Linked DNA regions of Arabidopsis thaliana. The protein of the gene in region 1 interacts with the protein of each later gene in a pairwise test. Each region holds a gene or a part of one and is shown in the gene's direction. Other genes may lie near its edges.

The links.
Region 2: the proteins of HIS1-3 (region 1) and DME interact in a two-hybrid assay, tested with the Arabidopsis thaliana proteins (one study listed by BioGRID).

Annotation. Positions count from the first base shown.
Region 1 is NC_003071.7:7,840,581-7,850,950, forward strand, and holds HIS1-3 (histone H1-3), read left to right. Parts: upstream 1-5,418; 5' UTR 5,419-5,514; coding exon 5,515-5,601; intron 5,602-5,673; coding exon 5,674-6,090; 3' UTR 6,091-6,451; downstream 6,452-10,370. Other genes in the region: MSRA5 (Peptide methionine sulfoxide reductase family protein), read left to right, coding at 272-384, 470-614, 719-916; PIN1AT (peptidylprolyl cis/trans isomerase, NIMA-interacting 1), read left to right, coding at 1,766-2,000, 2,833-2,957; VND1 (vascular related NAC-domain protein 1), read right to left, coding at 7,819-8,478, 9,207-9,478, 9,558-9,723.
Region 2 is NC_003076.8:1,302,414-1,314,382, forward strand, and holds the start of DME (HhH-GPD base excision DNA repair family protein), read left to right. Parts: upstream 1-6,700; 5' UTR 6,701-6,823; exon of another isoform or gene 6,824-7,206; 5' UTR 7,207-7,372; coding exon 7,373-7,943; exon of another isoform or gene 7,944-8,054; coding exon 8,055-10,175; intron 10,176-10,273; coding exon 10,274-10,618; intron 10,619-10,851; coding exon 10,852-10,942; intron 10,943-11,012; coding exon 11,013-11,969. Other genes in the region: AT5G04550 (type-1 restriction enzyme mjaxp r protein (DUF668)), read right to left, coding at 1,344-3,143. UniProt on the Arabidopsis thaliana protein: Transcriptional activator involved in gene imprinting. Catalyzes the release of 5-methylcytosine (5-meC) from DNA by a glycosylase/lyase mechanism.

The DNA of each region.
Region 1 (10,370 bases):
TGATATGATTTGATTTGATCAGTGCCTATGTTGTTCGATTTGATTTGCTCTACTTAACAGATTTCGTTTGGATAATAAAATTGGAGAATGCTTTATGTGAATATCATCATTCATTAGCTGATTAGGTTGTTTTGTTGAAATTTGGTTATGTGTGATCTTAGTGTATATGTGATTGTCTGATTGAAGTTAAACTAAATTGTCTTTGTTCATCTGACTTAGTGTTTGAGGAGCTTAAAGATTTGTGTTGCTCTTGCTCTGTAATTGTCTTCAGGTTGAATATGATCCAAGGATAATTGGTTATCGTCAGCTCTTAGATGTATTTTGGTCTAGTCATGATTCTAGACAAGTGTTTGGACAAGGTCCTGATGTGGGTAATCAATACAGGTAAAAGAGCAAGTAAATAGCTGATGCTTATCTTTGAGTTTGTTTGTTTGGACCAAATCTAAAACATGGGAATCTTTTTGAACAGATCCTGTATTTTCACTAATTCTACAGAAGAATTGAGACTGGCTTCTACCAGCAAAGAAAGGGAGCAACTTAATACAAGAAGCAGTATCGTGACCACTCAAATTCAACAGCTAGGAACGTTTTATCGCGCAGAGCCTGATCACCAGGTTCAGCTTTAAGTCTCTCTGCATCTTCCATTCATATCACGGCTGTTTATTAGAGGATAAACGATTAAGAAAATCAATCTTCTCTTGAATTTCTGTATTTGCAGAAGTTCGAGCTGAAACAACATCCATTTCTTATTCAGCTAATTGGAAACATGGTAGAAGAAGAGCTTGAGAGATCAGCTCTAGCCACAAAACTAAACGGTTACGCAGCCGAGCTCTGCCCGCCTAGAATCCAGAAACATATCGACTCTAGAGTTAATGAGATCATTAGAAAAGGTTGGCCCGTCTTGAGAGACATCTAATATATAAGCCTTGTGAGATCTTCGCGTTCTTGGATTTGATTGCTTAGTCTCAGATGTAAGTTTTGGTTCATTCTTTTGGCCAGGAATTTGGTCACAACAATGTTTATGTCTTACTCTTGCCCCTTGAGTGGTGATTGTTCAGCGTTTTGTCTTGTTTCTTTTAAGATCTCTCAAATAGTATATGCTTTTTGTTTTCTTGTAAGAAGATTCAGTTAGACTTTCATTGTATCATTATGGTATTGATTACCAATTCATTGATATTATATATATATATATATATATATATATATATATATATATATATATATGATATACTTTGATTGCCAATCTCTCACATAGAATATGCTTTTTATGAATCCTTTACATCTTAGTATCATCAGTTGGTATTTTCGCAAATACAAAGAAAGTTCTGGGGTGATTTGTCAATAATAACGATTTGGGATTTTTATAGTAAATATTGTAAGTTTGGGTGTGATTTTTAAAAAATCAAAAGTTCCAGGGTTATTTCATAAATACCGAAAGATCCGAGGCGGTTTCATCATATACTGGGCGATCCGTGGTGGTTTCGAATATACCGAAAGATCCGGGAGCATTTTGAATCTGCTGAAAGATCTGGGGCGATTTCGTAGATACCAAAATATCTGTGGTGATTTCGTCTCACAGTTTCAATCGTCGATAATCATTAGGGTAAAGCAAAAATAGTGAAGCAGAGCCGCAAAAACACTTTTCCCAAAATCAACGAAGATAGATTCAGATCGGAAGCGAAAGAACGATTCGGTCTCCTCCACAGATCGAACATCGAAGGAGAAGAAAGACCATCATCACAACAAGCATCGAAAGAAGAGCAAGATGGCGTCGAGAGACCAAGTTAAGGCATCGCACATTTTGATTAAGCATCAAGGTTCTCGGAGGAAAGCGTCGTGGAAGGATCCAGAAGGGAAGATTATTCTGACTACCACTAGAGAAGCCGCCGTTGAGCAGCTTAAATCGATCCGTGAAGATATTGTCTCCGGCAAGGCGAATTTCGAAGAAGTGGCGACTCGTGTTTCTGACTGTAGCTCTGCTAAACGCGGCGGTGATCTTGGTTTGTTCTTATCCCTAATCTCTAGATCAGCGAGTTTAGGTTTAGGATGATTGAACTTAGGGTTAGATCTAGTGGCAATTAAGATTTTAGGAAATGAAGTTAATCTGTATAGTCTCAAGTGATGTTTGTTGAAGGAGTAGAAAGCTTGTTAACTGGATTCTATTGGATCTAACTCTTTACAGTGAAATTGAGCATAATGATCATAGCTTAGATCATTAGTGATGTTTAGAATCTCACAGTTCTTCCTCGATGTGTTTATAGTCATCACTAATGTTTAGAATCTATAGTTTCTAGCTTGATAAATCTTTAGTTGGTGCTCAGAAATTTTACTAATCTCTAGCTTCTATCATCATTAATGTTTAGCTTCTTCATATTCCTTAATAAATCTATTCTTGGCTCTCGTTAATCTCACTAATGTCTGTTTAGATAATCACCGATGTTGAGAGTCTAAAGTTTATCTTCCTTGATGAATCTATATCGGTGCTCACAAGTCTTACTATTGTCCACTTAGATCAACATCGATGATTAGAAACTAAAGTTTATTCCTTGATGTATCTTTAGTTGGTGCTCGTAAATCTTACTACTGTTTGCTTAGAGCATAACTATGTTTATAATCTAAAGTGTATTCCTTGATGAATCCATAATCGGTGCTCATAAATCTTACTAATGTCCACTTAGATCACTACCCATGTTTTCCTCGTGATGATTTATAATTGGTGCTCATCAAGTTTACTAACATCTTCGTAGATCATCTCCCACATAGAGTTTCTTTCTTGATGAATCTATAATTTGTGCTCATAAATCTTATGTTGATTTGTCCATCCCTGTTCAGGTTCCTTTGGTAGAGGTCAAATGCAGAAACCATTTGAGGAAGCAACTTACGCGCTCAAGGTTGGAGATATAAGCGACATTGTCGATACAGACAGTGGAGTCCACATCATTAAGAGAACAGCTTGACCTTATCTGATCTGATAGAAAATGTATTGAAGGTGCCTGCTTCGTTTCCCTTCTCTTCTTGACCAGAAGAACATAGAAGAAGAAGAATAAGAAGAATTTAATTCAAGGTTATTGTTATTGTGGTTTTGATTCTGAATCTGTCTACGAATTTGATACAACTCAAACATATGATAAAATCAGACAAGCTATCTCATTTCTTCTTAAAGGCTTCATAAGCACTCCCTGTCGTAGACAGTGACTTGTATAATCACATTTCAGTATCTTTGTCATGGTCTTACTGCAACATTCTGGCATCTTGTGTGTTGTCATTTTGCTCTTAAACTCTTGATAGTCTTTGGCTCTCGTCTCCACTCTTAATATTTGAGAAATCGTTTACTGTTAGGCGTAATTCAATGTTTAAACCAGTTTAGTAGGTTCTGAGCGGGATGTCTAGGTTTTTGACTTTTCTTAACAACATTTAAGGTTAGAGCCATTTAGCAATTAATCTAAACAGGTTTTTATTTTAAACAAGTCATGCAGAACTCCATTGTATGGGATTTAAGGATTCAAATAATTTTCTCTAGAAAATTCGAATAAATCGGTTTATTGGTTTAAATTTTGAGATATATACTGGTAACTGATTAATTATGTGAAGCCGGTTACACTTTTATTGCTCTTTGTAGTCAATATTTCCAAGTTAATGTTACTTGTTTTCTTGGAGTTTCAACTCTATTTATACTTATAAAACAACTATTGAAATTTCTAATTAAAGCATCCAAAGATGTTAAAGTAAGATAATTAATGTCATAGTTTCACATTTCATTCCATATAAATAATCAAAAGTCTTATTGTTGTTCATCAATCAAAAGCAAATATAACCTTCAGCATATATTTGGCTATACTAAGGTTCTTTTTACTCAATTTCTCATTATGTCTATAAAAAATATGCTTTCACTCCTAGCGGTTCTATGCATCATCGTTTCTGTAAATGCTTAGATGCCTCAGTTTCCGGCTCCATTTCCTTTTTCATTTCTATTCGAACCGATTCCTGGTATGTCAGGATTACCTGACATAACAAAATGTTGGTCATCCGTGATGGATATTCCTGGATGCATTGTAGAGGTTTCTCAATCTATTTTCACTGGAAAATTCGGCAATTTAGGTCCATCTTGTTGTAAAGCATTGTTGGACGCTGAAGTCAATTCCATGCCGAAAATTCCATTCATTCTGTTTTTCCCTCCGATGCTAAAGGAACAATGCTCAAGAATTGTGGGTGCAACTCCTCCTATACCAAAATAGAGTTTTAGCTTAGTTTTAAAAATCTATGATTTTTTTCTTTTCAACTTATTTATTGAAATTGTAGCTTACTCTACATGTTATACTCCAAAAAGAAAAAAACGATGATACAATAATAACATAGTTGTATTTGGGTTCAATACTTACTCATTTTTCAATTATAATGAATAACACCTTGAAACATTAACTCCGTAATTAATTTAGTCTTGCAATTTTTCATAAATTGTTTATATATGTCGTAACACAAAATTTGCGAACGGTTAATAACTTTACTAGATAAAACCTCTCTAAATAGGTAGATGTGAAAAATAAATAAATTTTTGTTTTAATAAATTTTTCAAATGATAATCTATATATATTTTATTTAATATATATTTTCTAAAACCAAATTTCAATCTTACCTTTTCTAAAACCATATTGTTAAAAACTAAAGAAAAAGTTGGACCAAGCAAAGCCTCTCGGTAAATGTGGTAAATAAATAGAACGATATAACTGAGAAGAAGAAAATAAAACAAAATTAAGAAAATAAAAAGATAAACATATTTAAGTTACAATATTTAAAAATATTAAAACACTTCTTTTTAAGAACAAAATGGGGAATTTTATTTATGTTTTGAATAGATCAACAATTATTAATAGAATGAGTTTAGTTTAATATATTAAATATAAAAAATTGAATATATAAACAATTGTTTTATGTATATATTTTTTTTTTGATAGGGTTAAGGATTTTTTTCTATTTTTGTTTTTAAATGTAATAAAATTTGAAACACATGTAAATATCGTATTAGTAAATACCGACCAAAAAAAATATTGTATTAGTAAATTTGACACATATCGCAATTTTTGTGAGCTAACAATTTTAAAAATCAAATAAGATGACGAACAAAGCTCTGGTTTAAACTTTCTCCCATCAATTTTTTCATTAAACCAAATTTAACCAATTATTTGGCCTAATAACTGCGTCTACGTTATTAAGAATAAGAACTTATTTTGTGTTTCAGTAGAAAACACACTCGTTCACAAAATGCCTAGTAAGAGTAAAGGACGATCACCGCCACCAAGTGTGTTTCTCGGATAAACACATGGAATCCAGCCATTACTTAAACGACACGTGTACGCTCATGATTTATTAATGCACACGTAATCGATCCTCTGACAAAAACCATAACGAATACAGAAAACACACGAATACACTTCCCTGCGCTATAAATAAGCTAGCACGAAAAAATTTAACAGATAGAGACAAGACAAGCAAAGCAACACTTTCACTAATCCTCTAATGGCAGAAGACAAGATCTTAAAGAAGACTCCGGCGGCGAAGAAGCCGCGAAAACCGAAAACCACCACTCATCCTCCATACTTTCAGGTGAGGTTCTAACTTTTTCTTTTGAGTTCCTATCTATTAAACTTAGTTTTTTCGTTTTGGTTTTTGATGAAGATGATAAAAGAGGCTTTGATGGTCCTGAAAGAGAAGAACGGATCAAGCCCTTATGCTATAGCTAAGAAGATAGAGGAGAAACACAAGTCTTTACTTCCAGAGAGTTTCCGTAAAACACTTTCTCTACAGCTTAAAAACTCTGTTGCTAAAGGTAAGCTCGTGAAGATCAGAGCCTCTTACAAGCTCTCAGATACCACCAAGATGATAACGAGGCAGCAGGACAAGAAGAATAAGAAGAATATGAAGCAAGAAGATAAAGAGATCACAAAGAGGACTAGGTCTTCTTCGACAAGGCCTAAGAAGACTGTGTCTGTGAACAAACAAGAAAAGAAGAGGAAAGTGAAGAAGGCGAGACAGCCTAAGTCTATCAAATCTTCAGTTGGTAAGAAGAAGGCCATGAAAGCTTCCGCTGCTTGATCACTGAGGAGGAGGAGAAGAAGATGGAACTGTGTGTGAATATGAAGAATAAGGTTTTTTGTTGTCTCTGTAAATGGATGATGACTTTGTTTTGGTTTGGTGTGGTCTCTTTTGGGTGTAAGAGTAAAGAGTCTTCGGATGTATAACCAGTACTACCATGTAATATACTCTAAATAGATAGATTTTTACTTGGGTTGATATCTATTATTTGTTCAAAGAATCGAAGAAACGAAGGCGAAACAAATTCGAGTAATTATTTCTAGTTGGGGGTTGGTTAACTAAATGCTAATTATGTATTTTATCTAAGTCGTTGAATTGAAAAGAAAAAACGCCTAATACTTATGTATGACTAAGATGGGGCCTAAAGACTTTTGAAACGGCCCAAGTTAGTGATTACACGGAGCCCATACAGATGTTTTAACAAAACATATTGGTTCATATGTAATCGTTAGTACAAACACTACAACTCTTCGCGTGTAAACCAACATCTCTATATGGTTTAGTAATGAATACAAAAATAGATACTTTTCAGTTTTATTCATTTGAGCTAAGAGAGTAAAAAATTCTATGTATTTGGTTTGCTTGGAGCTATAAAGTTTATCATGATGTCTTTGAGTTCAAAATATTTGTGACATTCAACTAGATTATCAATGTTTCGTAAGCCAGTACCTAAAAGTAGCGAATACAATTAGACACAGTTGTAAACGATCCGTTACTTAGGTAGTCGAAATATGCACAGTTAGATAACGGTTTCAGTCTTTGTAACTTACCTTGAGGATCAAACAGCGCTCCTCCTTAGAGCATCATTAGCTCCTCCTTTCGGTCAATCAACATCTTCTCAAGACCAATGCCTTTGAAATATAGTGCCTACCAATGCATTGAAGACATTCTTTAAAGCGTAAATATAATGTAGTCTAGCTCAAAGAGTAAAATAGAGAGTTTGGAGCAACTAAAGTTTGCGGAACTATATATATACTAAGGAAGGTGTCCTCGTTTTAAGCGGATGTTTGCGAGTTTGTTTTGGAGAGATTACTGAATGATCTGAAATATAACCGATGCACGCAGCTAACATAATCTTTAATTTTGATAGTTCACTTTTTGAGTTTTTGTTTACAATACATGGGTTTTCTTTATTTTTGTTAGTTTGGTATTGATATTCCCACAATTTGAAAAGATTGCATGAGATTTGAGAACCAACATCTAACATTTATAATATAATAAAATTTCCAAGTGAATCAAGATTAAAAAAAGATTCATATGAGATAAAATAAAGTTTTAAATTGAAGACTCTTGCTCCCAAAGTCTCGTTGGTATTGTGGACGACAAAGCATGCCCAACGGAGCCCCGTTGTGCACACCGCACGCTCGACATCTCCTTGCCCCACAACAATGATTTCTTATTCTGATTTCTAACTATACTTAATTAATGGCCCCTTAAATCATCTCTATAAAACTAACTATAATTAAAAAATTTAGAAAACCTCACAATTCATACCCTCATAACGTAACAATAACTCTGACCTAGTCACTCAAACTCGAATATAAATAGTACGTAACGTAATATAGATTTATATCCTCACTCATTCACAACCCTAACACATTCTTTTCATAAAACTAGACATGGCTAAACCATATGTTTAATTTTCTTTATTAGTTATATTGTTAATATTTTCATATAAGTGTAAGTAAACGTACCAACAAATCTCACATGCCATCTATGTAGTTTCATTCAATTATCAAATACGCAAATCCCAATATCATAATCCGAGTTTGTACTCAAGAATTCACTGACGAACCTGTTTTCTTCTTCTCTTTCGCTCAAAAACATTGACGAATCCATCTCCACATCATTGTTGTTTTTATCTTCATTAACTATATGATGACCTGCGAAACTTGAAGTTCCATTGTCTTCTTGGCTCATAAGTTGTGAAGCAACAAACTTGTCTAACTCTCTCCAATTTCCCGTCATCATTACTTGCTTTTTCTTCTTCCTTCTATCCTCTCCTCTTATGAATGACTCGAAGCTTTCTTCATCCGCTAATGGGAGTTTATAGTTGTAATTGTTATCCATTGATGTTATGGACATCGAGCTTGAAGGTCTTTTCATCAGCGGGAGAGAAGGGCTTTGGAGTTGTGGGAGCTGAATGAATTGATTCGATTGTATATAGTTTATACCATCAACCATTCCTTCTAGTTCTTGCTTACACATCAAACCTTTCCCAAAAATGTTATGTTGCTGCTTAGATATGTAATCAATGGGGTCCATAACCGAGTTAACTCCATTCGGTGCAACTTCATCGTAAAAGTAACTTGAGCTCCAAGTTTCCGTGTTCTTGGCTTGCCCTGTAGCTCTTTTTTTGAATGCTCTACAAACCACCCATCCTTCTTCCTAAAACACATATATGCACAAAAATGATCATAAGAAGACATGACATGTAAATAGAATCTTTGGCTTGAATTGATGTTTCAAAAATTGGTAAAGAATCATATAATACATAAGGCCAATGCAAACAAAAAGATGGAGAAAAGGCAGTTAGATTTTAGTGAAACACACATAAGGACATGCTTGAAAAGTGTGAGACCAAAAATAAGAAAGCTAGTGAAATGTATAGGTACATACTCATGCAATCTAATAGAGTTTCACTTTTGAACTTTATTGACTTTAAGATATTGAAAAAACAAGCACAACTATAATCATAAACAATATATACTACAAACATATATAGATCATTTTCTATAGAGGAAATTGCTAGCGTACAAATATATATGCGAAAGATTACTACAAAAGGGATTAAATAATTTATAATTGTTATAAACGAGACAAAAGTTTACATGTTTACTACTTCAAAAGGAAATGTGATTGAACTTTTCTGTTTTTGGTTAGTGGAAAACTGTAAAATTCTGCAATGGTCAAAATATTTATAATAAAAATTGACGTGAGACTGAAATTTGATACTAGTTTAGGAGAGACTTTTACTTTCTTTTTTCTGATTGAATATAAGTATTAATGGACTTTCACCTAAAAGTTAGCATGTGCCTCACGAAAGAGCCCAAGAGACAAGAAGCCCTAATTAAAACAAAAATGTTTTGTCCCCACCAAAGTAGAAACACAAGTACCTGGGGCGGTGCATTCTCATCTGACTCGAGCCGGTACTCATGCATGATCCAATCGGATTTCTTGCCATTAGGTGCACGTCCTTTGTAGAACACAAGTGTTTTCCTCATACCAATTAGTTTTGTTTTGTCGTAAACAGCTTTGTCTCTTCCCGTGGCTTTCCAAAATCCAGCCATGGTCGCTCTATTAGTTCTTGTCCCCGTTGGATATTTCTTGTCCTTGTGACTAAAAAAATACCATTCATTTTGTTCCTCATAACCGATTCGACATTGTTCTGTAACATTTAAAATTTAAGGTGATAATCAATAAAACCTTAACCAAAGTAAAATATCTCACGGTGTTCGGTAAGTAACCTTGTAGATCCCATGGTTCTATTCTGTAGAGATCGATGTCTCTGATGACGTCGAGATCAATCTTTTGCGATGCGATTTTCTTCCTTAGATAGTACCCGACAAGCTCTTCGTCCGTCGGATGGAACCTAAATCCTGGAGGAACGCTACAAGATTCCATTGGCTCCATTATTTCTACACCAACAAAATGAAACACCAAAATGAACAATAATATAAATATACATGTACGGAAATATTCTCTTATTTTCGTCTATACTTATATATAATTTTTGAGATCACAACATATGATTTCAGAAGATCTCAAATGATAACATGGGATAGTGGAAGGCGACATATTAGAGCTATAATGAAAAACATAAGCTAAATTTTGTGAAGACAAATAAGAAGAATAAGAAGAAAAATATATAATTATCATTCATAGAGTGCTATCTAACAAAATCATTTATAAAGTACTCGAGAGATAGTTGACAAAATGTTATGAGATATAAGCATATATAAAACTCATTTCGTGGTGAATTCCCACTTGCTCACCATTTAAACTCTCTCATAACATGCATAATTATGATCAATAAGTTACATATTTTTATTAATTTATATACATGCATACATACGTAAAATGATATTTACATGTATGAAATTTAGGTTTTGAGTTGAAGAAATCAAGATGAGATGCGATCATAACAAACGGACATGGGGAGTTATAATGATGCTGTTCTGTTGTACATTAATGTTAGTAAATGGCGGCAATGATCATCAAGAACGGCGTTCTTCTCAAAACTCTTTTTTTTTCTTTTTTTTTAAATTGAAATCAATTTA
Region 2 (11,969 bases), on another chromosome or scaffold:
TGCCACAAAGACAATGAGACATCCAAATACGACGCTGTTTCCGTACGGCCAAAGTTTACGTTTCTCACCTTCTTTTTTTTTTCCTCTAAAATAATATTATTTCTCACCTATATAATAAGATTAGGAAAAGGAAATTTGTCTCTTTTTCATAAAATAAAAAGGAAATTTGTTGATTAAGAGTTTCTTAAAAAGGAAATATATTATTTCTCACCTTTATTGTTTTTTAATTCAACCTTAATATATAATGATGAGAGTTTGTTGATATAGTCCATTTATTAATGAAAGAGTTTAATGTAACTTTTGGTAATTAAATAGAGATTTCTTATTTTAACTCAATTAACAAAATATTTACAATATTTTTGATCTAAAACTATGAAATATCAACAGAAAATTAATTACATTTAATATATTTTAAAATATCCTAAAATGGATATTAGTAAATATTAACTAGTGTAATTGTATGATGACCCATTCTATAAAATATTACTAGTTGTATATTATCATCATATAATAATACTATCATCATACCAATATTTGTTTCTTAATGGTAGATATTTCCTTTTAAAATTTTTTATCATCATACTAATATTTGTTTTTAAATGCTAGATATTTCTCTAAAAAATACTAGTATAAAGTTCTTTAATGCTATAACGATTCAGCATGTGCTTGGGACAAATAAAACGATTCAGCATGCTGAATTCTGTGACATGGGACTTGGAGTTGGAATCAAGAATACAAAACACTAATCTTCTTCTCTTGGCCAGCTAGATCAAGTGCGATTCATTCATAAAACTTATATCATAAAATTTAAACATGTAGACTGAAGAAACAATAATCAACTAAGAAATCTATTGACTTTAATTTCAAACTTTGACAAACCCACATACGAATACAGTTGACCAAAAGGGAGGAGAAGACCAAGGACGAGTAATAATAATACAGGACAAAACTTGGACAAATCGGAATTTAAGGAATCTTCTGTATCACCAACGAGTATTACAGAATCTAAAACAACCTTGGCACATACGTATATATGCAGTATGTAACTCACCACAATAAAAATCATAGAACAATATACAACGCATCATCATCCTACTACAAGTCAGAATTTTGCAATCCACGAAGCAGAATAGTAAACGGGGAAGAAGATAAAGAGGTGCTCAGATCATAATACCTCTCATGTAATTAATCGAGCACCTTTCCGTACTCTGGTTTGGTCCAAGCTGCATAGGATACAGGGCGCGCCCACGGTATGGTTTACCCAGTGGGTGAGATCCAGTGCCGGTTTAGGTCAACGAGGTAGTAAAAATCCAGACTTGTGTGTGTCGTCTTGGAGAGCTTCACTAGTTATCTGTGTCCAAGCATTTCTCAAGGGTTTTACTACTGGTACACTCCTGAAGAGCCTTGGCATTGAGTTCTCTGCCAAATCTCCAGACATAATTGAGGCCTACGAGAAGCTCGGTAATGATGGCTTCTGTCTTCTGCTGGTTTGCAAAGAAAAGGGTTTGTGCAAGAACTATGTGCGTCCTTGAAACCAAGCTTTGGTGCTCGTAACTCCGCTCAGATTGCCATTTTATCATGTTGTGAGCTAATGGACCCAACCATTCCAAGATACCCGCCATTGCGTCTGTCCATTCTCTTGCTAGGCCTGGATCATAAACTGTGGAAGAACTCAAGTTTTTCGAGTAAGGTTTTAGCCTTTCTCTAAGCGATGTTCTCACGCTCGCCGGTAACATGTTGTAAAGGTCGTCTCTTGCATCATCTCCTATCAAGTGAGGAGACGCAACAAATCTCTCTATCACGATGATGACATTAGCATAGTGTAATGCTAAGCAAGCGGTACCAAGGGTATTAGGAGCAGCATCTGACAGCTTGGGTCGGGAAGGAAGTGTCAAGTTTTCAACGTGAACAGAGTTAGAATTATCTTCAAGAATGTGATGCTCAGCACTACTATTCCTAGCTCCATTCCGGGCCCTAGTGCTGAGAGGCGTAATCCCATCGTGAGACACCATACAGCCTTTAAATGGGCCAACCTGTGTTAATCGGTTGGCTTTCAATTGCTTTTTCACTGAGGAAATTGAAGGCCTTTCCGGGGTCTGCCCCATCTTCTTGTTGTTTTTGCCCATTCCGATAAGTGGTCCTGATTTGGAGGTGATCTTCCCAAGCTGACCAGAGTAAAACTTGAAACGTTTGTGTTTTTCTGCAACAAGAGGACCTGACTTAGGTGATTCGGCGCTGAGAGAACCCGAAAGGAAATCACTCATCTTCGTGGACCTTGTAGCAGCTGAACCCGATGCTGGACCGGTAAATCTTCCAAGGGGGCCAGAAGCAAATCTAGGAAGACCACTAGACTCAGATTTATGAGATACAGGAGTTAAAATAGTAGAAACGGAGTGGCTGCGGCCAATAAAATCAGAATCTGCAGAGCTAACATCACTTGCTTCCACTCTGTAACTAATGCCAAAAACATGTTTAGTCCTGCTAAGGATTGTGAAAACTGATCTAACCAAGAGAATGACGGTATAGTCATAAGTACGGTTCCAAAGAGACACATCCCGCAGATTCTTCACTTCGTGTCTTTTCCATGTAACTTTTTTCTGATACTCCAAAAGATTGTCAGTAGCAGATTCATTGCTCTTCATTCTCTTGAAAGTCTGTTCAAGATCAGCAAGAATCTCAGTCTCCTGGTAGAGACTAGCATTAGATGATATGAAACGTTCCATTTTCTTAGCTTTCTTATCCATTTTCTTCCACCCAAACTGCCAACCATAAGGGTCAGCTCCAGTCTTCATCATATCACTAAAACAATTCTCAAAGCACTTCAACTTGGGATCGTTGCATTTCCTCGCAAGCCTAGCCACAGCTTTCGCTACATTCTCAACGTTCTCCATCATTTCATCACGTATTAACCTCACAATAAAATCATCATCTTCTGAAACTAACTTCTTTATACCAGTGGAATGTGTAATCTCGTCCCTAAGCCTTGCAACATTCTTATCACTTAATGACTGCCACAAATGAACAAGCTTCGACAACAAACTCGCAACCTCAAACGCTAATACTCCTAGAACCGCCTTATCTTTATGACCATCATGTTTCTTTGGAAACCTCCACAGATTACGAAACCAAGTCTCTGAAACCATCTTCTCTCAACCTGCAATAAACCAATACTATCAACACCAAAAAGCTTCCAAATTTCACAATAAAAAACCAGACCCACGATTGAAATCTCAAGAAAACAGCAAGAAGTAACTCGTACACAAGCAAAAAGGAATTGAAATTGGGGAAATCTAGCTACAGAGCTCAAGTTAGAGAGAAACGCCCAAATTCAACCAACCCTCTAAATCGGTTCTCGAAGCTTAAAGCTACCAACATCGAATTTAGTAAAAGACCCATGATTTGAAATTGGAATTGTCGGCAAAATCGAGAAGATATAGAGCCGACACGGGAACAGTGAAAACCACAAAGCGCGTAAGAATGAAACAGTGGGAGAAGGAAGAGAGAATCTTACCGATCATTCGAGGGAAAAGATGGGAATCAGAGAAAAATCTGGAAAAAAAGAAATTAAGAGAAAGAGAGAGAAGAAAGTGAGGAGGAAGATGCAGTGAAGACTGCTATAGCCACATCCCACATGGTGTGATGAGAGAGAGAGAGAGAGAGGTTAAAGCAGCAAATTGTGGAGAGATAAAGAGAGAGAGAGACTGAGCGAGTCAAGTTCGTCGTCGTGTTTAAAAGAAAGAATCCTATATTTGCCTTTTTCTTTACTACTTTATTTTCAGACTATTTGCTTATTTTGCCTCAAACTTTTTTGATTGTCACTTTTCGATCCTAAAGTGTTTGACAATTTACCTGCCTTTTTCTCCAAGAAAAATCAGAACAGACCACAGCAAATTTATGTATTTTCTATTAAAAAAGAAAGAAAGAATTCATATTACTTATAGAATTAAAAGCTAAGCAGTTGAAAACGTGAAAGCAGAATTTCTAAAAAAAATAGTAAACTGCTACAAACTTATTTATGTGTATATAACATATCTATAAAGAAACTCAAATATATGATAAATCATTTTAACAAAATTTCTATGAAATTATAATAAAAAAAGTCACTTTTGACACTTAAAAGGTTGACAATAACCGTCTCTCCAAAAAAAAATCAAAACATTTATAATTTCTAAAACTATGGTGTAATTTTGCTGAAATCAAAAAGAAAAGAAGGATTTCTATATCATAAGTTTCATTATTGTATCAAACTTTCAAATTTCATGTAATTTGAAAGGAAAAAAATTAAGATATAATGTTGTTTTTGTTTCTTATGTTACATTTTCATGGAATATATATTCATAACAAAAAATGTATTTTAATATGATGAGAGATTACCATCCAAAAGGTCGAACTTATATAAAACAAGTTAATAACTAAACAATACATGTGATCACAATCAATGACAGTTTTGATCTTAAAATAGAAATGATTGAGCAAACCTCAAAAATGTCTTCTTAGGATCACAAAATCTTTCCTTTAGCTTATTAAAGCCGGGAGTTCAACTCTCTCTCCCTTGTAGACTTTTTGTTTTCAAATCTTTTTCTTTCAAAAAATCAATAATTAGTTAATGGGCATAATATTTGGTTTTAATTAAGTCCATAGATTTTTTAGGACCATCTCTAATCACGACAAATATCCTAAATTGTAACACATTTAAAACTTAAAAGTATTGCATTCACAATCCTTAAAATATATATATATATATATATATATATATATATATATATATATGAAAGTTATATAGAAACGATAACTCCTTACTCAACAATTAGCCCAAAAAAACATCCATAATGCATTTAAACTAGGAATTTTAACAAACTCAAATAGGTTGGTAGTTAAAAAAAAACAAATAGTAGATGTACATACGTACCTTTAAAAATATATACTCATATCGAAAGTTTTAAATTTTGCGAAATTAAATACATTTATCTATCAATTAAAATACATTTAATAATGCATAATTCTGTAATATCTATCTTTAATTTCCATATAGAACCAAAACAAAATAAACATATCAAATAGTTTTAACTTAACAAAAACGTTAGGGAAAAGTTGACCTAACTAGCTTGATTGACGTTGAACTTGTCAATGCGAAAGCGATATTTCCAATATATACTACATGTAGTATTATTTATATGGAAGTTTCTAAAAAGGTGTTGAGTGGATTGTTACTTGTTGGAGGATGCTATTTTTTCCTTCTTGCCATAATATTTTACGAGTATGGGATAACTACATACTCATGATTATGAAACGCTCACTTTATTTGAAAAACCTCCTAATACACCAAATATGTCACTAGATTCCAAAACGTAGACCAATTGTATCTAATCTCAAATTCTCAATCAAAGTATTAATTTACCGATGGTAAGAAAAGTTAACCGATATAATTATCAAAAGAAAGAATAAGTCAACAGATTCTTAATCTCTTTATTTTGGTATATGAACATTTGTACAAAAATCTCAAAAGATATGTAACTGTTTAAAATATAAATTCACTGAGATTAATTCTTCAGACTCGTGTTAGCTATAATAATGTCAAGAGTTCTTCTTGTTTCAAGGAAAAACCTTAAAGATATGTATATTTTCTGTAATTATGATGATATAATTTGCTATTCATTGTCACAAACATTACTTTAAAAAATCGTATTTTCATTACTACAATGTTGACTAAGAACAAAAATACATTGATTATTGATATATCGTCAACTGAATTTTCTTCCGAGGGATATAATTCTCAAACATAGCAAGAATCTCATAATAATGTTTCGTGACTACCTTTAGACGAAATTTTTTTAAGATTCGTAACGTGACTTATGGTCTCTTGCTGTGGGGGTCAATGCGAATAAATCTAAATGTATGGGAGTCAAATAAAATACCAAGAAAAATAAAGGAGCAGCACCCAATAAACTATATGGGACCAGAAATCCTTTCATTGGTTTAAAATAGGATTATCCCGAAAGATGAAGGACTAAATTGAAACTGATTGGGGGTAGGAAGAGATCCGTCACAATCATTAATGGCTTCCACGCGGAAACTTGTCGTTTATACAATTTCATTAACTTTCGGGTCGGGTTTATATTCCAAATGGGTCAAATAATATTAGTTTAATACACTAACGGAGTAATTAATTGGTGACTACAATTTTATCAGTTTGGTGCAATTAGAAACGAACATAGTCGTAAAATACGAGTTCGGTGTTATACCTTTATTTACGTTAAAAAAATACGAGAATTTTGTGTCAAATTTCAAATTAATTTCATGAATATATGGAAATTATTAGATACTCTAGCGAAAATAGTGATTATGAGCGTTTTACAAAAATACGATTTTAGCATTGAACTTCCTTTATGTAATTCGGTCAAATGTTGGCATGAAGAAGCAAGTTTGCAACATTAAATTTCATTTAAAAATCGTGTTGACATACTTTAAAATCTAAATATAGGAAGAAGACCAAAACATTAAATTTAGTAAGATTCTAATGAACATTTATAAGTTATAACTTATAACCAACAAAAGTTGGGTTTAGCGTTGTTGCTTTATCTGAAAACTTGCAAACTAAACCATTTTAATAGGACTAATGACAATTAACAACAAAATACACTTAAGCAACAACGTCCTCGTGAATATAATTTGGGCCTCAGGCCCATATTGCTAACGCCAACTGATATTTCACTTTATTCCTTCTTCATCTCACCACACTCTCTCTCTATCTCTATCTCTAACGGCATAGCTGACTCAGTGTTCTCCGGCATTGACTCGCCTGAGAATCAGAAAGCTTAGATCGGTGAGCTTTTAGCTCCATTTTCTGTTTATTTACATATTATTTCCTTTTTTTCTCTCTCCCTTTTTTATCTGGAATTTGTTCTGCTAAATTTTCCAGCTGTTACATTTTCCGATCACGAGAAGAATCACTGGGTTTTTATGTTAATCAATACATGTTCCTGTTTTCTGATCATAAATCTCAGCTATTAACACCTGATTTTGATTCTGCGTAATAAAAACCTCTGATTTGCTTTTATCTTCACTTTCCCCATAAACATTGCTTACTTTATTCGCTCTTCTTTTACCGTTTCCAGCTAAAAAATTCTTCGCTATTCAATGTGTTTCTCGTTTTGTTGATGAGAAAAATATCTGACAAAAAATCATTTATTGCATTTTATGGTGCAGATTCTTAGTTAATGTCGCCTTCTCTAACCAAGTCAGATTAAAAAGGAGTGTTCGTCCATGTTGCTTTGTTTTGGTGTTTGGAGAGAGTTTTCGGAGAGTTAGGTGAGTGTTATTTGGGGTGAGGTAGTGATAAGGTTTGAAGGGGGAGTGATTCATCAAGTGTGTTATGAATTCGAGGGCTGATCCGGGGGATAGATATTTTCGAGTTCCTTTGGAGAATCAAACTCAACAAGAGTTCATGGGTTCTTGGATTCCATTTACACCCAAAAAACCTAGATCAAGTCTGATGGTAGATGAGAGAGTGATAAACCAGGATCTAAATGGGTTTCCAGGTGGTGAATTTGTAGACAGGGGATTCTGCAACACTGGTGTGGATCATAATGGGGTTTTTGATCATGGTGCTCATCAGGGCGTTACCAACTTAAGTATGATGATCAATAGCTTAGCGGGATCACATGCACAAGCTTGGAGTAATAGTGAGAGAGATCTTTTGGGCAGGAGTGAGGTGACTTCTCCTTTAGCACCAGTTATCAGAAACACCACCGGTAATGTAGAGCCGGTCAATGGAAATTTTACTTCAGATGTGGGTATGGTAAATGGTCCTTTCACCCAGAGTGGCACTTCTCAAGCTGGCTATAATGAGTTTGAATTGGATGACTTGTTGAATCCTGATCAGATGCCCTTCTCCTTCACAAGCTTGCTGAGTGGTGGGGATAGCTTATTCAAGGTTCGTCAATGTGAGTGATCAAATCTATTTTCAGTTTTTTTTTTTCCCTTTCTTCCGTTCTTGCAGTACTTAGAGTAGAACATGAATTAGAATATCTTAAGAAAGTCATGGTTTTGAACAGATGGACCTCCAGCGTGTAACAAGCCTCTTTACAATTTGAATTCACCAATTAGAAGAGAAGCAGTTGGGTCAGTCTGTGAAAGTTCGTTTCAATATGTACCGTCAACGCCCAGTCTGTTCAGAACAGGTGAAAAGACTGGATTCCTTGAACAGATAGTTACAACTACTGGACATGAAATCCCAGAGCCGAAATCTGACAAAAGTATGCAGAGCATTATGGACTCGTCTGCTGTTAATGCGACGGAAGCTACTGAACAAAATGATGGCAGCAGACAAGATGTTCTGGAGTTCGACCTTAACAAAACTCCTCAGCAGAAACCCTCCAAAAGGAAAAGGAAGTTCATGCCCAAGGTGGTCGTGGAAGGCAAACCTAAAAGAAAGCCACGCAAACCTGCAGAACTTCCCAAAGTGGTCGTGGAAGGCAAACCTAAAAGGAAGCCACGCAAAGCTGCAACTCAGGAAAAAGTGAAATCTAAAGAAACCGGGAGTGCCAAAAAGAAAAATTTGAAAGAATCAGCAACTAAAAAGCCAGCCAATGTTGGAGATATGAGCAACAAAAGCCCTGAAGTCACACTCAAAAGTTGCAGAAAAGCTTTGAATTTTGACTTGGAGAATCCTGGAGATGCGAGGCAAGGTGACTCTGAGTCTGAAATTGTCCAGAACAGTAGTGGCGCAAACTCGTTTTCTGAGATCAGAGATGCCATTGGTGGAACTAATGGTAGTTTCCTGGATTCAGTGTCACAAATAGACAAGACCAATGGATTGGGGGCTATGAACCAGCCACTTGAAGTGTCAATGGGAAACCAGCCAGATAAACTATCTACAGGAGCGAAACTGGCCAGAGACCAACAACCTGATTTATTGACTAGAAACCAGCAATGCCAGTTCCCAGTGGCAACCCAGAACACCCAGTTCCCAATGGAAAACCAACAAGCTTGGCTTCAGATGAAAAACCAACTTATTGGCTTTCCATTTGGTAACCAGCAACCTCGCATGACCATAAGAAACCAGCAGCCTTGCTTGGCCATGGGTAATCAACAACCTATGTATCTGATAGGAACTCCACGGCCTGCATTAGTAAGTGGAAACCAGCAACTAGGAGGTCCCCAAGGAAACAAGCGGCCTATATTTTTGAATCACCAGACTTGTTTACCTGCTGGAAATCAGCTATATGGATCACCTACAGACATGCATCAACTTGTTATGTCAACCGGAGGGCAACAACATGGACTACTGATAAAAAACCAGCAACCTGGATCATTAATAAGAGGCCAGCAGCCTTGCGTACCTTTGATTGACCAGCAACCTGCAACTCCAAAAGGTTTTACTCACTTGAATCAGATGGTAGCTACCAGCATGTCATCGCCTGGGCTTCGACCTCATTCTCAGTCACAAGTTCCTACAACATATCTACATGTGGAATCTGTTTCCAGGATTTTGAATGGGACTACAGGTACATGCCAGAGAAGCAGGGCTCCTGCATACGATTCTTTACAGCAAGATATCCATCAAGGAAATAAGTACATACTTTCTCATGAGATATCCAATGGTAATGGGTGCAAGAAAGCGTTACCTCAAAACTCTTCTCTGCCAACTCCAATTATGGCTAAACTTGAGGAAGCCAGGGGCTCGAAGAGACAGTATCATCGTGCAATGGGACAGACGGAAAAGCATGATCTAAACTTAGCTCAACAGATTGCTCAATCACAAGATGTGGAGAGACATAACAGCAGCACGTGTGTGGAATATTTAGATGCTGCAAAGAAAACGAAAATCCAGAAAGTAGTCCAAGAAAATTTGCATGGCATGCCACCTGAGGTTATAGAAATCGAGGATGATCCAACTGATGGGGCAAGAAAAGGTAAAAATACTGCCAGCATCAGTAAAGGTGCATCTAAAGGAAACTCGTCTCCAGTTAAAAAGACAGCAGAAAAGGAGAAATGTATTGTCCCAAAAACGCCTGCAAAAAAGGGTCGAGCAGGTAGAAAAAAATCAGTACCTCCGCCTGCTCATGCCTCAGAGATCCAGCTTTGGCAACCTACTCCTCCAAAGACACCTTTATCAAGAAGCAAGCCTAAAGGAAAAGGGAGAAAGTCCATACAAGATTCAGGAAAAGCAAGAGGTAACTAATGTATTCTACAATCTCTGTGATATAATTTTGAGATTTTAGTAACTGATGTGTCCAAACCAGCTCCTTATCACTGTTGGTGCGTTGTATAGGTCCATCAGGAGAACTTCTGTGTCAGGATTCTATTGCGGAAATAATTTACAGGATGCAAAATCTGTATCTAGGAGACAAAGAAAGAGAACAAGAGCAAAATGCAATGGTCTTGTACAAAGGAGATGGTGCACTTGTTCCCTATGAGAGCAAGAAGCGAAAACCAAGACCCAAAGTTGACATTGACGATGAAACAACTCGCATATGGAACTTACTGATGGGGAAAGGAGATGAAAAAGAAGGGGATGAAGAGAAGGATAAAAAGAAAGAGAAGTGGTGGGAAGAAGAAAGAAGAGTCTTCCGAGGAAGGGCTGATTCCTTCATCGCTCGCATGCACCTGGTACAAGGTGAAGATCCACTTCTCTTCTCAACTCCATTTTTATTCACACAAATTAGTAGAATACTCAAAAATGATGTTTTGTTTGCAAAATTTTAAAATTCACTAGTTAACCATGTCAAATAATATTCATAATGCATCTTGTGAAGAACAGGTGTGCATTTATGGTGACAGCTGAATGGTTTATGTGCCTATTATTTCTTTTACTGCTATAGATGACCAATTGAACTTAAACGTTTACAGGAGATAGACGTTTTTCGCCATGGAAGGGATCGGTGGTTGATTCGGTCATTGGAGTTTTCCTTACACAGAATGTCTCGGATCACCTTTCAAGGTATATGAGTTGCCTTAATAAATTGAGTTCCAAAACATAGAAATTAACCCATGGTGGTTTTACAATGCAGCTCTGCGTTCATGTCTCTAGCTGCTCGATTCCCTCCAAAATTAAGCAGCAGCCGAGAAGATGAAAGGAATGTTAGAAGCGTAGTTGTTGAAGATCCAGAAGGATGCATTCTGAACTTAAATGAAATTCCTTCGTGGCAGGAAAAGGTTCAACATCCATCTGACATGGAAGTTTCTGGGGTTGATAGTGGATCAAAAGAGCAGCTAAGGGACTGTTCAAACTCTGGAATTGAAAGATTTAATTTCTTAGAGAAGAGTATTCAAAATTTAGAAGAGGAAGTATTATCATCACAAGATTCTTTTGATCCGGCGATATTTCAGTCGTGTGGGAGAGTTGGATCCTGTTCATGTTCCAAATCAGACGCAGAGTTTCCTACAACCAGGTGTGAAACAAAAACTGTCAGTGGAACATCACAATCAGTGCAAACTGGGAGCCCAAACTTGTCTGATGAAATTTGTCTTCAAGGGAATGAGAGACCGCATCTATATGAAGGATCTGGTGATGTTCAGAAACAAGAAACTACAAATGTCGCTCAGAAGAAACCTGATCTTGAAAAAACAATGAATTGGAAAGACTCTGTCTGTTTTGGTCAGCCAAGAAATGATACTAATTGGCAAACAACTCCTTCCAGCAGCTATGAGCAGTGTGCGACTCGACAGCCACATGTACTAGACATAGAGGATTTTGGAATGCAAGGTGAAGGCCTTGGTTATTCTTGGATGTCCATCTCACCAAGAGTTGACAGAGTAAAGAACAAAAATGTACCACGCAGGTTTTTCAGACAAGGTGGAAGTGTTCCAAGAGAATTCACAGGTCAGATCATACCATCAACGCCTCATGAATTACCAGGAATGGGATTGTCCGGTTCCTCAAGCGCCGTCCAAGAACACCAGGACGATACCCAACATAATCAACAAGATGAGATGAATAAAGCATCCCATTTACAAAAAACATTTTT